Linked DNA regions of Arabidopsis thaliana. The protein of the gene in region 2 interacts with the protein of the main gene of each other region in a pairwise test. Each region holds a gene or a part of one and is shown on either strand. Other genes may lie near its edges. The genes, in order: MBD3, WLIM2a and SEP4.

Evidence for each region.
Region 1: the proteins of WLIM2a (region 2) and MBD3 interact in a two-hybrid assay, tested with the Arabidopsis thaliana proteins (one large-scale study listed by BioGRID).
Region 3: the proteins of WLIM2a (region 2) and SEP4 interact in a two-hybrid assay, tested with the Arabidopsis thaliana proteins (one large-scale study listed by BioGRID).

Annotation. Positions count from the first base shown.
Region 1 is NC_003075.7:177,118-180,040, forward strand, and holds MBD3 (methyl-CPG-binding domain 3), read left to right. Parts: upstream 1-1,904; coding exon 1,905-2,396; downstream 2,397-2,923. UniProt on the Arabidopsis thaliana protein: Probable transcriptional regulator.
Region 2 is NC_003071.7:16,656,756-16,660,959, reverse strand, and holds WLIM2a (GATA type zinc finger transcription factor family protein), read right to left. Parts: upstream 2,493-4,204; 5' UTR 2,131-2,492; intron 1,881-2,130; 5' UTR 1,825-1,880; coding exon 1,690-1,824; intron 1,546-1,689; coding exon 1,446-1,545; intron 1,355-1,445; coding exon 1,317-1,354; intron 1,233-1,316; coding exon 1,143-1,232; intron 933-1,142; coding exon 693-932; 3' UTR 517-692; downstream 1-516. Other genes in the region: AT2G39910 (ARM repeat superfamily protein), read right to left, coding at 1-187, 280-356; PROT1 (proline transporter 1), read right to left, coding at 2,758-3,135, 3,220-3,435, 3,580-3,704, 3,799-3,988, 4,070-4,164. UniProt on the Arabidopsis thaliana protein: Binds to actin filaments and promotes cross-linking into thick bundles. Has an actin-stabilizing activity. The actin regulatory activities are not regulated by pH and [Ca(2+)].
Region 3 is NC_003071.7:1,127,536-1,132,410, reverse strand, and holds SEP4 (K-box region and MADS-box transcription factor family protein), read right to left. Parts: upstream 3,144-4,875; 5' UTR 2,790-3,143; coding exon 2,605-2,789; intron 1,837-2,604; coding exon 1,755-1,836; intron 1,687-1,754; coding exon 1,625-1,686; intron 1,554-1,624; coding exon 1,454-1,553; intron 1,374-1,453; coding exon 1,332-1,373; intron 1,262-1,331; coding exon 1,220-1,261; coding exon of another isoform or gene 1,169-1,219; exon of another isoform or gene 1,144-1,168; coding exon 971-1,143; intron 874-970; coding exon 783-873; 3' UTR 573-782; downstream 1-572. Other genes in the region: MRH6 (Adenine nucleotide alpha hydrolases-like superfamily protein), read right to left, coding at 1-248. UniProt on the Arabidopsis thaliana protein: Probable transcription factor that binds specifically to the CArG box DNA sequence 5'-CC (A/T)6 GG-3'. Plays an important role in the determination of flower meristem identity. Involved in the specification of sepal identity.

The DNA.
Region 1 (2,923 bases), on a different chromosome or scaffold from region 2:
AGTTGTTAGAAAAGTTTTAGATTTAATGTAGCTTAGATATCAACTATATATTGGTTTAGTTACTAAACCAATATATAGTTGATATTAGATTTTAATTGCATTACTGTTGGGAATAATTTAAATCTTGGAGATGATATTGAATAAACTCTGTTAAATTTCTTAACCCATCAAAATAGGGAAAATAATAAAGGATATTCTAGAAAGCTTTATGAAAGATCAGTGTTAGCCAAAACCGACAAGAACCGGACCAATACGGGCCGTAACCTCATTCTAGAAACGATCTTATCATTTCAATAGAGGCGGTGGCTCGAGTCAAAATCCCACGTGGATTAGGGTCAAGAAGACCTCTCTATAAAATGTAGGACTAATTCGACACAAAGGAAGGAACAAAATCGAGGACAAAACCGCAAAACACACGACTTAATTTTAAAACACGACTATAATTTATAGATTAACTTGTTATGCCTTGATTTTTGTATTTTGCAATCGATATTTTGACCAATAAAAAAATTATATTCGATTATTTTTATATTTTTTTTTGTAGAATGTCACAAATTGATTACTTTTGTCAAAATAATTAGTTAGTGTAAAAATATATATGACCACAACAACAACAAAAATTCTTCGTTGTGCAAGTTAGGTTGATCTTGTTCTCACTACTTGAGCAGTTGAGCTTAATTTGTTTATTTGACCGTTGGGAGTTGCACCGCTTTGAGCCGCACATTTATGCTCATTAAACATATTTATAAAAAAAACGCATGAAAGTGTTTGACCAGAGACAAAGTGTATTAGAAATTCACTAGGCTTACACAAAAAGGCATGTTGAGCTGTATTAGAAGACCCTTAACAGGCCTCCATACTAGTCTTGAAGATGGGCCGAAATTCACTAGGCTTAAAGATGCGCCGATATTCACTAGTCTTAAAGATGGCACCACAGATGGCTCCGAGACATTGCATAATCATGTAGAACACTGCTCTGGTCAGAGACAATTTCCGAGCCAAGAACAGACCAAATGTTACGAAGAATGGATTATATAATACAGTACAGTATATGGTTTTGCCTTCTTATATATGTCCACATCATTTAAAATCTTAAACCAAAATTGAATAATTTAAATAACTCATAAAACTTTTATATGTATGCTTGTCTTACATTCAAAATGCGCATTATCACTAGTTTAATATTTCTATAACTGATCAGTTTTTAATTGGTTGACACCAAATGAAGTGGTCACTGACGCTATAGGATTCTATTGGGCTGCATATTAAAGTTTTTTTAAGAATTGGAACTTTTAATATTATCTAGGGTTGAAGGAACTAAAACGCCTGTCCTACTGATGTAAGGCTAGCCCTAACCTACATGTATCTCAAGCGTCCAAATTTACGTTAATACAATTTTCAAAGCATTGTTTTTCCTCTCCTTGGAGAAAGTACATGCAAAATCAAAATTAATGGCTCCGACTTTTCGAATCACCGCAAGCTACTATCTCTTCGAGTTCTGGTTATAATAGTACTTGATTAGATACTTCTTATAAGGCTTAAAAGCCAACTTAAATGCTATTGCAGTAAAGATTTCATTCCTTCTTCACTTCACTTTACGAATCTAAAGGATATATTTAGTTCTTCTTCACTTCAACTAAAAGGCTAAACTCCCAAAAAAATATTTTTATCTCTCTCAAAACTTGAAATATGGTGAGGAAGACTACTCAAGCTACATCTCACAAGGTATCGACAATATTTTATTTTTATTATTGCATGAAGATTTGTTTTGTCAATGCATGAAGATCCCAAAACTTGAAATATGGTGTTTTATTTTTATCATTACATGAAGATTCGTTTTTTATCATTGCATCTCACAAGGTATCGACAATGTTTTATTTTTATCTTAGTCTTTGTTTGGTTTTATGTGTGTAGTGAAAACCACGTTAATTGACTCATACGCTGCACAATGTTGGAAGTGTCTTAAAGTGAGATCTATAGAGTCACAAGAAGATTATGAAGAGATTCGTAGTAAAACACTGGAAAAGTTTTTTGAATGCAAGAGATGTGAAGAACCTGGAGATATGGTAATGAACTTTGATTCCCTTACTATGCGTTGGTTTCAGGATGAACATAGTATACCCAAAACCCCTCAAGGTTTGAAGAGAGTTTTGGTCGTGAGAACAAACTGCGTGAAAGTCGATGTTTACTATGAATCATTGGCTCCTAGACGAAAGAGGTTTAAATCTATAAAGGAAGTTGCAACGTTTATTGAAGACAAGGAAGAATTTAAAGACATGACGCTTGAAGAGGTTTCTTTTGCCGCACCCAAACGGCTGAAACTAAAAAAGAAACCTGTCGATAGTCATTCTAGCTCAAGGAACACTGAGGAAGATGGTGTCTCGAGAGATGCTTAGTTTTGTCTGCTATCACTTATCAGGATCATTCATCGCTTCTCTTTATCTCTTCTCTTTTGAACTTTTGGTTTTTGTCTTTGATTTCTTTTGGTTTTTGTCGTTGAACATTTGATGCTTTATGTTTTCCCAGTTTAAGCAATTTATTTCCTCTTTTATCATATCTTTTATCATGTACTTGAGTAATCTGCCTAGTAATCTCCTTCTCTCTGAACAAACTGCTACCTAAATTACTAGCAGCAAACTTTGAATCATACACGCTTCTTAGAATTCAAAGCTTCTGAAAGTCCATCTTTGAACAACTCAACCTTTGATTTATCTTTGCACTTCTGATATTTTGACAGTCTTAGACCATTCTGGTAGCTTTCCTTGTAGCTATCTCACACTAACTGATACAGTGACGTTCTTGAGGCCCTTTTAACACAATGATTTAATCAACCTTGAGATCTTTGCAAATCATAGCTTTTGATCATTCTCTGAAATTCCTTCTCTTTGAAGCAACAATATCGAAGGTCTCTTTCTCCTTGTGA
Region 2 (4,204 bases):
GGATGAACGTGAAGAAGCGAGAAGGGCACAAGCAAGCGCGAGACTTTTGATCGATTCTTCATTGGCGAGACGAGAAGACGAAGTGTTTGGTAACAAGGACAAGAGTATATCTTTGGTGGATACTTTGCTGCTCTCTTGCGGTGTGTACTGTGTACGTCTAAGAATCTCTGCTATTGGTTCTGATAATCTGAATCCTCAAAACAAATCAAAATTAGGGTTCTTCAAGAAAAAAGCACTTAAAGGCCAAAAAAACAGAGGCCAGAGAGAGATGTCACTCACCGGAGAAGACGGCCATGAAGATCAGAGCTTGTGCTCAACATTTTTCGAAATTGACAATTTTCTTTTGTAAAGTTCATATCTTTACACAATTCAATTTGGGTTTTGTGTTTTCTTAATTGATTTCTGTTTAACTGGATTTTTAACTTTAGTGAAGAACCGGACCGGAGATGACTAACGACGAGTAACGATAGAGATTTGTCCGGTCTAACATTCCGGTTCGGTCCAGCTCAAAAGACCAAGATCAAAGCCAAAAGTCCTCGGTTATTATAGATGTAGTAGTATCACAAACAAGAAACTCAGAGAAAACTGGGAGAATTTTATGCCTGGTTCAATTATGGAAGACAAAGAACATGAATCATATCGAATACATGTAAACAACACAGCACATACACAAAAATAAAGAGAATTTGAATTCAAGATTCGGGAACGGCTGCTACAGCTGCAGCAGCTGCGGTAGCAGCAGCAGTAGCGCGTTTGATGGAAGCAGATTTGATGAGATGATTGTAACTTCCTTTCTCCTTGAAAAGCTGAGCGAAATGGTGCTTGCAGTACAATATTCCCTCTAGAGCTGCATAGTTCGATGGAGATATCGGACAGCCTCCATGAGAACACTTGAAGCAAGATTTATGGTAACACTGGCTTTCCACAGTTACCTACAATTTTTAGAAAACAGAACAATGAGATATAAGAATTGACTGTATTAAAGAGATCTCAACTTTATGTGATTCGGATCCATGTAACTCATATTGCAAATGATCCAAATAAGTTTAACTGTGATTTTCTTGACAACAATCACAGAGAGAACACAAAAGTGTATTGGAAAGCAATGGTAATGACATATACAAGCTTAAATGTATACTAACCTTTTCGATAGGATACACGGTTTTAGTGCAAGTAGCGCATTTGTCTTGCGTTCCAGAGAACATACCAGCAAGTCGACTAGGTGTCCTATTCTGAGAACAACCAAGAAGAGAAATAGAGTCATGTATCTCAAGTCGTGTAACTAAATAAAAACATCGTTGTTAAGAAGCGTTTACCAGCTCCGGGGTTGGCTTATCAGTCAATGGCTTTGCAGCTGTGAAAGGAAAAAAAAAGTTTGAAGATTAAAATTAAAGTGACCACATGTAAAAGCTGGACCAGAAGGTGAAGAAAAGAGTTTTACATACGTGACTGAAAGTTCTTGCTGAAACTACCAGACTCCTTGAAAAGCTGCTCAAAATGAGGCCTACAATACACCACTCCTTCCATTGATGAATAATTGCTCAGCTGTTCAGAAACCATCAACACGTTTTAACTTTATCACTTTAACGAAGACCAATTCAGATCAAGTATCTCTCTAGCTAAATATCTAAATGAAACTCTCAAAACACTAATAACTACATTTAGGAAAGGCAAAAGAGGAAAACTGACTTGAAGTCTGCTTTTGCAGTGAGAGCATTTGAAGCAAGCCTTGTGATAAGAGATTCCATCAGCTGAGAGAAGCTCCACAGGGTACACTGTCTTCTCGCACGCCCTGCATTTCTGCTGAGTTCCTGTAAACGACATCGTTTTTGAGATCTTCTTTCTACCTCCAAAGATCTCTCAGCTCAAACCTTCTTCCTCTGTAACAACAACATTTCAAAACCCAACAACACAAAGAGGTTTAACAAAAAAAACTACATTAACACATTCTTGACTTTTCACATTAGCCATTTGCATCAGTTCAAACAAATCAATCCATGGATCCATAACCACATATTTTGATTCAATCAGTACACAAAAATCGAATCTTTTTCTACAAGCATTGCAAAAAAAAATCTGATTTTTAACAGAATAAAATCGTTAAGAACTAACAAACGGCAAAATGGTTACCTCTTCGTCGATCTGATCAAATGAGATATCAAAAAAAGAAACCCAAAATTGAGAAGAGAGAAATGCAGGTTGAAATTGGAGCTGAGAATAAAAAGAGAGAATCAAAGAAGTCGCTGCGTGAAGATGAAGATGAAGAAGAAAGGTAATGATTACGGAGCACGATTGATAAAAAATATCTAACGCTTTCGTTTTTTTTTTTTTATCTAGAGCTTTGGTGGAGACAGTGGGGTTCCACTTTGGCCTGTCTAAATTATTGTTATAATTTCAAATTAAACAGCTAATCATTGAAAGATTAGGTTTTTGTTAAACCAACAACAATTCTGTTTCTTCTCTTCTCTATCTCACTAAATTAAGGTTTTTTTAAGTTAGGTGTTTTTATGTTCTTCTCTAATACTATGATTTACATTTCTAATAGAGACTTTAATCATGCAACTTAGTATTCTTTGTTGGTAAATTTTCAGAATGATTATGATGAAAGTGGTCTTTTATATGCTTTTTAGATTTTAGAACTTGATTTATTTATTTAGGCTCTAATGGTAAGACAAATAGAGAGAGAATACAAGCTTACAGGAGAAATAAACCTGCCTAAGAATAAAGGATACACAATTGACTATATAATATAATGAATTACAAATCTGCAAAAACATGGAAATTTTTGGAATCAACGGCGATGAGTCTGACAGCTGCAATGGCTGCAGCAACAGACATCAAACTAAAGAAGACAACGTTAAGCCAATGCCATAGCTTTTGCATAGCATTCAGCTTATTGTTCTTTGCCTTATAGTACATGTGGTTGGCTAGAATGAATGTGAGAGGGAATGTGCTCACTGCACCAGTTAGGCTCATGAAGTCACCGAGGAACGGCAACAGCGCTGAGATAAGCGTGCTTACCGCTATGTACCCGCCTCTCGCCATGATCCTAAACAGCAGGTTCTTTATCGCAAATGGGTTTCCTTTGATCCCATACTTTGTGTCCATGTACTCATATGTTGGACTCGCAAATATCTACAACAAAGAATTGAGTCAGACATATAGTTAGAGACGACAGTCTTTGTTAAAAAAGCGTAGACTTGGCGCTAAGAAACTTACGTGCAAAGAGATAACAGATTGAAGGATAGCAGAGACGTTAGCAAGGGCTTTGACCCAGAGTGGGCCATTAACACTGTTTAGTAGATAGGTCGAGGTTGAGGATCCATAAGCCCAATATCCGATGAATGTAACTGCGTACATCGGTAAAACACCCGCTGTGAATTGAAAGTATAGAGCCTTCATCATGTTTTTAACAACTGGTTGCCTCACTGTTGCCTAACATTGTGGAAATTATAGTGTCAATATGATTAACAAACAAACTTTGTTTAAGATGCAGGTTTTACTTGAACAAAAGGTACACTAATACATAAAAGCAAACACAAACAAACAATTGAACTTTGAAGTCTAGGGAAAAGTCACCTGAATTTCTGGAAGCATCCCGGTGTTGAATGCGAAAACCAGATTTGCGGCTGCTCCTGTGATGGTAAAAAGTTTGCTCAATGATGATCCTTGTATCTCGTAATCTCTTGAAGGTGTTTTTACTCCTAGAAACAAACAAAACAAAGCAAGAATTAGATTTTTGCAGTAGTTAAACTCATTAGTAATGTTGAATCTTGATGATCATTTGATTAGTTATACCATCTCTAACCGATAGCACGATTGCCACAACAATATAGATGAGACTGAGGAAGGTCGAAACTCCAAGCCAGACCCCAAGAGCCGATAAATGAGGAATCCCAATAGCGAAAATCGCACAAATCAAACCAGCAATGGCTATAAAATGAGGTAGTTTCATGGTATGATCATCCCTGAAAAGCACATAAACAGCCTGCAGAAACAGAACACACAACCAAAATTAACTAACTCGTCTAACGAAATCAAGAATCAAGAGAAGAAAATGTTTTACTACCTTTAAGGCGGAACCAGCTAGGATAATGAATCCACAATTAATCATGAAAAGATTAACATATTGCAATCCCCATGTAAGATGATAAGCCTTCCTACCTGATAAAAAGAGAGATCATTCCAATGAAGGTAACAACAG
Region 3 (4,875 bases), about 16 Mb from region 2:
CATTGAAGAGCATTCTTAGTTTGTGAAGTTGTGTCCACAACAACCATCACTTTCCTCCCACTCTCAGCTTGAACTCCTCCTCCTTCACCATTCTTATTAGCATCCTCTGCTTTCAGATTCTTACTATGCTTCGAACCGTTCTTTCTCGAACCCGAAGTACTTCCTTCATCTAATGATTTGCTCGACGATGATCCTCCTTTGAATGATGTCCTAATCTTATTTACCCAATACCCTGCTGGTTTCCCCATTTTCTTAATTCTTGTTTTTCTTCTCTCTGTTCTTTGAGGTTTTAGTTGTGTTTTAAATACTGTTATGTTTGTTTGGTTTTTGGTTGGAGCCATTTCTTGAACGTGCTTGCCATGAAAATAAAATTAAAATAACATTTTGGACTTGTTCATTATAATCCAACCTGGCAAAAATTATTTAGTCGTTTTAATTATCAACATCACAATCTTAATACAAATGCAGAGCACTACTTGTTTCAGAATCCAATTCTTGAGACATGTTCTAATCCGGAGAACTTTTGTCATAATCTAACAAATTCATATGATGTTCAAAAATAAAACAAAAATAAGCTCCCAAAACAATATTTTATATTTCAAGAGAGCCAAAAAACAAAGAACAAAAAAGTAATAATCTGGTGTTTGACATTAGAGCCTTGATTATATAACAAAGTTTTGTAATAATGAACTATGTTTCTCTGGCAAAAATCAAATGACACAAGCAATGATCTTTGATCTATAAAACACACATATGTGTACATATATAGATATGTATTGTTTTCAGACCATCCATCCAGGGAAGAATCCATTAACATTCTGTGATGTTGTTGCAGAGTTGGTTGCATTTGCAGGATTGTGATTGTAATGACTGCTAATTATATCAAAACAATAAAGAAGCACAAACAAATGTTAAGTATTTCTGATTAGGTAAAATAATTCAAGGGTCTTGACTATTTGTTTGTAGATACCTCATTTGCAATGCTACATTGCCTTGTAGAGGCTTGAAGAAACCTGCTTCCTGAATTGGAGGGTTTGATTGATAAGAGCTCATGCCTTGTTGCTGTTGTTGATGTTGTTGTTGTTGTTCTGCAGCAGAACTTCCCCAAAACGATTGAGTAAGTGCTGCATCACTGTCCTCCAACTGAGAAAGAAAGAATAGGAAGATTTCAAATGACAAATGGTTTCAGTTTCTTGCGGTAAAAGATTCCGATAGCTACCTTTCTCCTAAGATCTCTATTGGTTTCCAATAACATTTCCTCCTGTAAATTGAGAAAATGAGAGCTTGTTGTATTTGGATATTGTGCAACTTTTATTATATAAAGTATGTACCTTAGTTTTGAGGTCAGATAGTTGATCAAGCATAGACCGAGCCTGGCAATGAAAACGAAACAACGATTTAGGATGAAAGATTCGAAACAAAATTTGTCGATTTTGTAAGCTTAGAAATATACCTTGGTAGATCTTATTTGTCTTAGTGATGCATCTACTTGGCGTTCGAGATGCTCAAGCTCATTCACATCCATCTCGGATAGCTCTTCACCTAGCAAATGCCTAAAAAGAAGAAACATTTAGTAACAAGAGCATATATAGTTACATTTAGATGGACTAGGATATATAAGTACCTTTGTGAATGTTGAAGGATCTCAACTCTTGATTTAAGCTTCAAGTAGTCTTGATACTTATCCTGCCAATTTAAAATAAAATTAAGGACAACTTTGAGGTCAGTCTTTGATTGAAAGAGAAGATATGTACCTGCAAGTCTTTAGCTGATTGATTTGGATCCATTGTTGCATAACTATGTTTTCTATACTTATCAACCGTCCTCGCCATACCACTTTTCATAAAAACAAATGATCATTTTAACTTTTAACATATATTGATAAACCAAACTTTAAATTTCATTATGAGAATAATATAGAAAAAAAACCTTAAAAGCATCTCCATGTAAAAACATCAAGAACATCAAAATGGGTATCAATCTCATGATGTTTGTGCAAGAAAAATAAAATAAATTTATGTGGAAATGATAAGTAGCTAGTGAAATTGAGTATCATCACAGTTGTCTCTTTATAACTTTAATAAGATCATAAGTAGTACTTGAGAGAGATACTAACTTAAAGAAGTAGTCAAAGTATTTTTTATATCTTTTACAGCTTTGTGTATATATCCAGAGGTCAATTCTTAGTCTCTTTGGAAACTCTGATCAATCCTTTGGAAACAATATCAACAACACTCAATCTCATGTGTAAAAGCTTTAACTATATTTATATATGCTCTATAGCTTCTACACATATCTACTGTACTTTTTTCAGCCATAGTCTCTACTCTCTAGCTTTAATCATCATCTAGAGCAACTTAGACGCTTTGTACGTACTTTGATCATCGTTCACTTAATCTCACTCTTTACGAGCCAGATTTATGCGTATGAACTCACAAAATAAATAAACCGTAGTTAATCAACTAATTAATTGTAACTAAATCAAGAAAGACAACAAAGTTTTCATATCCTTTATAATCCTTAAGAATCAAAACCCTAACATGGATCAAAATATAGAAACTTTGAGGGAAAAAGTAGATATATCAAAGATTAAAGAGTTTTCACCTAGGGCTGCTGCAGAATTCGTAGAGCTTGCCACGGTTAGAGAAAATGAGAAGAGCAATCTCAGCATCACAAAGGACAGAAAGCTCATAAGCCTTCTTGAGCAAACCATTTCTTCTCTTTGCAAAAGTAACTTGTCTATTGATCTTGTTCTCTATCCTCTTCAGCTCAACTTTCCCTCTTCCCATCCTCTCTTTTTCTCTCTTCTCTCACCAAGAAACCAAAACCCAACTGAAAACTCTCCTCCTTTTTATCACTAAACCAACAAGTAATGAAAAAGAACCTTTATACACACACACATCTATATCTAGATAAAGTGTATAAGTAAATGTGTAGAGTGTATATATAGATCTTGTCTCAAAAGGATTCTGGTTCTTAATCTAGGGCATGAATTGGTTTCCGGTGACTAGGTGGTGGTGGTGGAGGAGGAGATTGTGGTAGTGGTGGTGGTGGGCCAACTGTGTTCAGGTTCTTCTTTTGTTGAACTGATTTTTAAGAGAATATAGCTTTGTGTTGGTTTTGCAGAGATGCTAAGCCATTCTTGGCCAAATAAATGCTTCCAAACTTATATCCAATCTTATCAACTTTCCTTTTTTAAAAATTAATATAAAATATTATAAATTCTAAAAAGTATTTTTGTGTAGTTACATTATTTTAGTCTTACTTCATCAGGGAATATATATTATTATTAATTTTCTTTTACACTTTTGTTTTTGCAGAAAATAAAAATTGATTCCTAGTACTTTTCTAAGGAGAGTTAAGATCTTTTTTTCTCTCTCTCTATAGTCCAAACAAAATGCTTCAACTTTTCTCTTTCACTCTCCTCCATTGGATTTTTTAAAGATAATATTTACACCATAATATATAAATAGATTGCTTTCTTTCATCAGATCTAGTCCATAGTTTAATAATATGCTCAAAAAAGAAATAAGAAAAAGATTCTAAATATAACCTATAAAGATGCCTTAAATAGAGCATATTCACAAGTCCAAGTCCTATCTAATATCTGGTTATGTATTGTTCATGAAATGAAAGAAGTGCAAATAAAGTTTTGTTGTTTTTTCAGGTATTGACACGTTTAGATTATGTAGATAACACTTATAATGTATATTGTGTGTGTTTGTGAATAAAAGTAAGAAAATGATAGGCTTCTAAAAGATATGTTTTTTTCTGCTTATGCTTTGCTTCTCTTGCCGACAAGTTCTTTCGTATGACAGCTACTTCACGATCGTTTTAATGCATAAAACGGATCTATACGGTTACAAACAAATTATGTCACTCTGAAATGGTTAATCTGATATGGTACTATTTACTATTTAAAGAGAAAATTTATTTACAAAGGTTTTTACGTCTCACATGCACTATGTCTTTTTATATATATATGGTGAAATTTAGATATTGAAATATATCATGTTTTTGTTTTCTTTCCAATTTCTGAAAATTTAGTCACGTTCTTGTTCAATACTATAAAATCAGTCCAATCATGTTTTTGACACTAATATAGATGTGTAAGAATATGCAATCTAGCATTTATTAGAGGGTTTCGTGTTTAGGTTCTCTTCTTAAGAAGACTGATGTATTTTACTAGTTAATCGATTTTCATAAAATACAGTAGAACTCACATAACGACTCTAGATTTATTTATAACAATAACTCGTACATGCTTGACACAAAAATTGCAGATTGATCTTGGCAAGAAAAAGGAAAATTGTTTATGAACATTTAAGCTCTCAAAGCCTTAGTGTTTTCAACTTTTTTTTTCACTTTAAAGGTTGGTAATTGTTTGACAGGTTAATTTTTTAGGATGCTTCTTGTCAGGTTAATTTGTTTTTCCTCACTTCTTCTCATGGCATCTTATACTATCTACATCATGATGATGATGGTTGTTGTTAATTTACTCATGTGATATGTCTCACACAACTTTTTTTTTAACTTTGCTTGCTGACTCATATTTCACTTGGTACCTTAGTTATTTTGTTCAACTTCTATAGATCGATGGAATATTAGTTTTTTTCTTTCTTTCTTTTGGGTACTATAAATCTTGTTGATGGAAACTTGATGTATATGCGCATGTCTTATCCAGATTATCATGTAAAATGATCCTTATCTTCTACGCACTTGCTATCCTCCACCATTCTTTTATGGTTCCAAGTTGTGACCTTACAACATGCAACATATAGATTGATGCTTTAGGAAACATCTAAAAAGAATAAATACGATATAATACTTGCAATGTGCTATTCCATCTTTTATATGGATAATTTAGGTAGATAA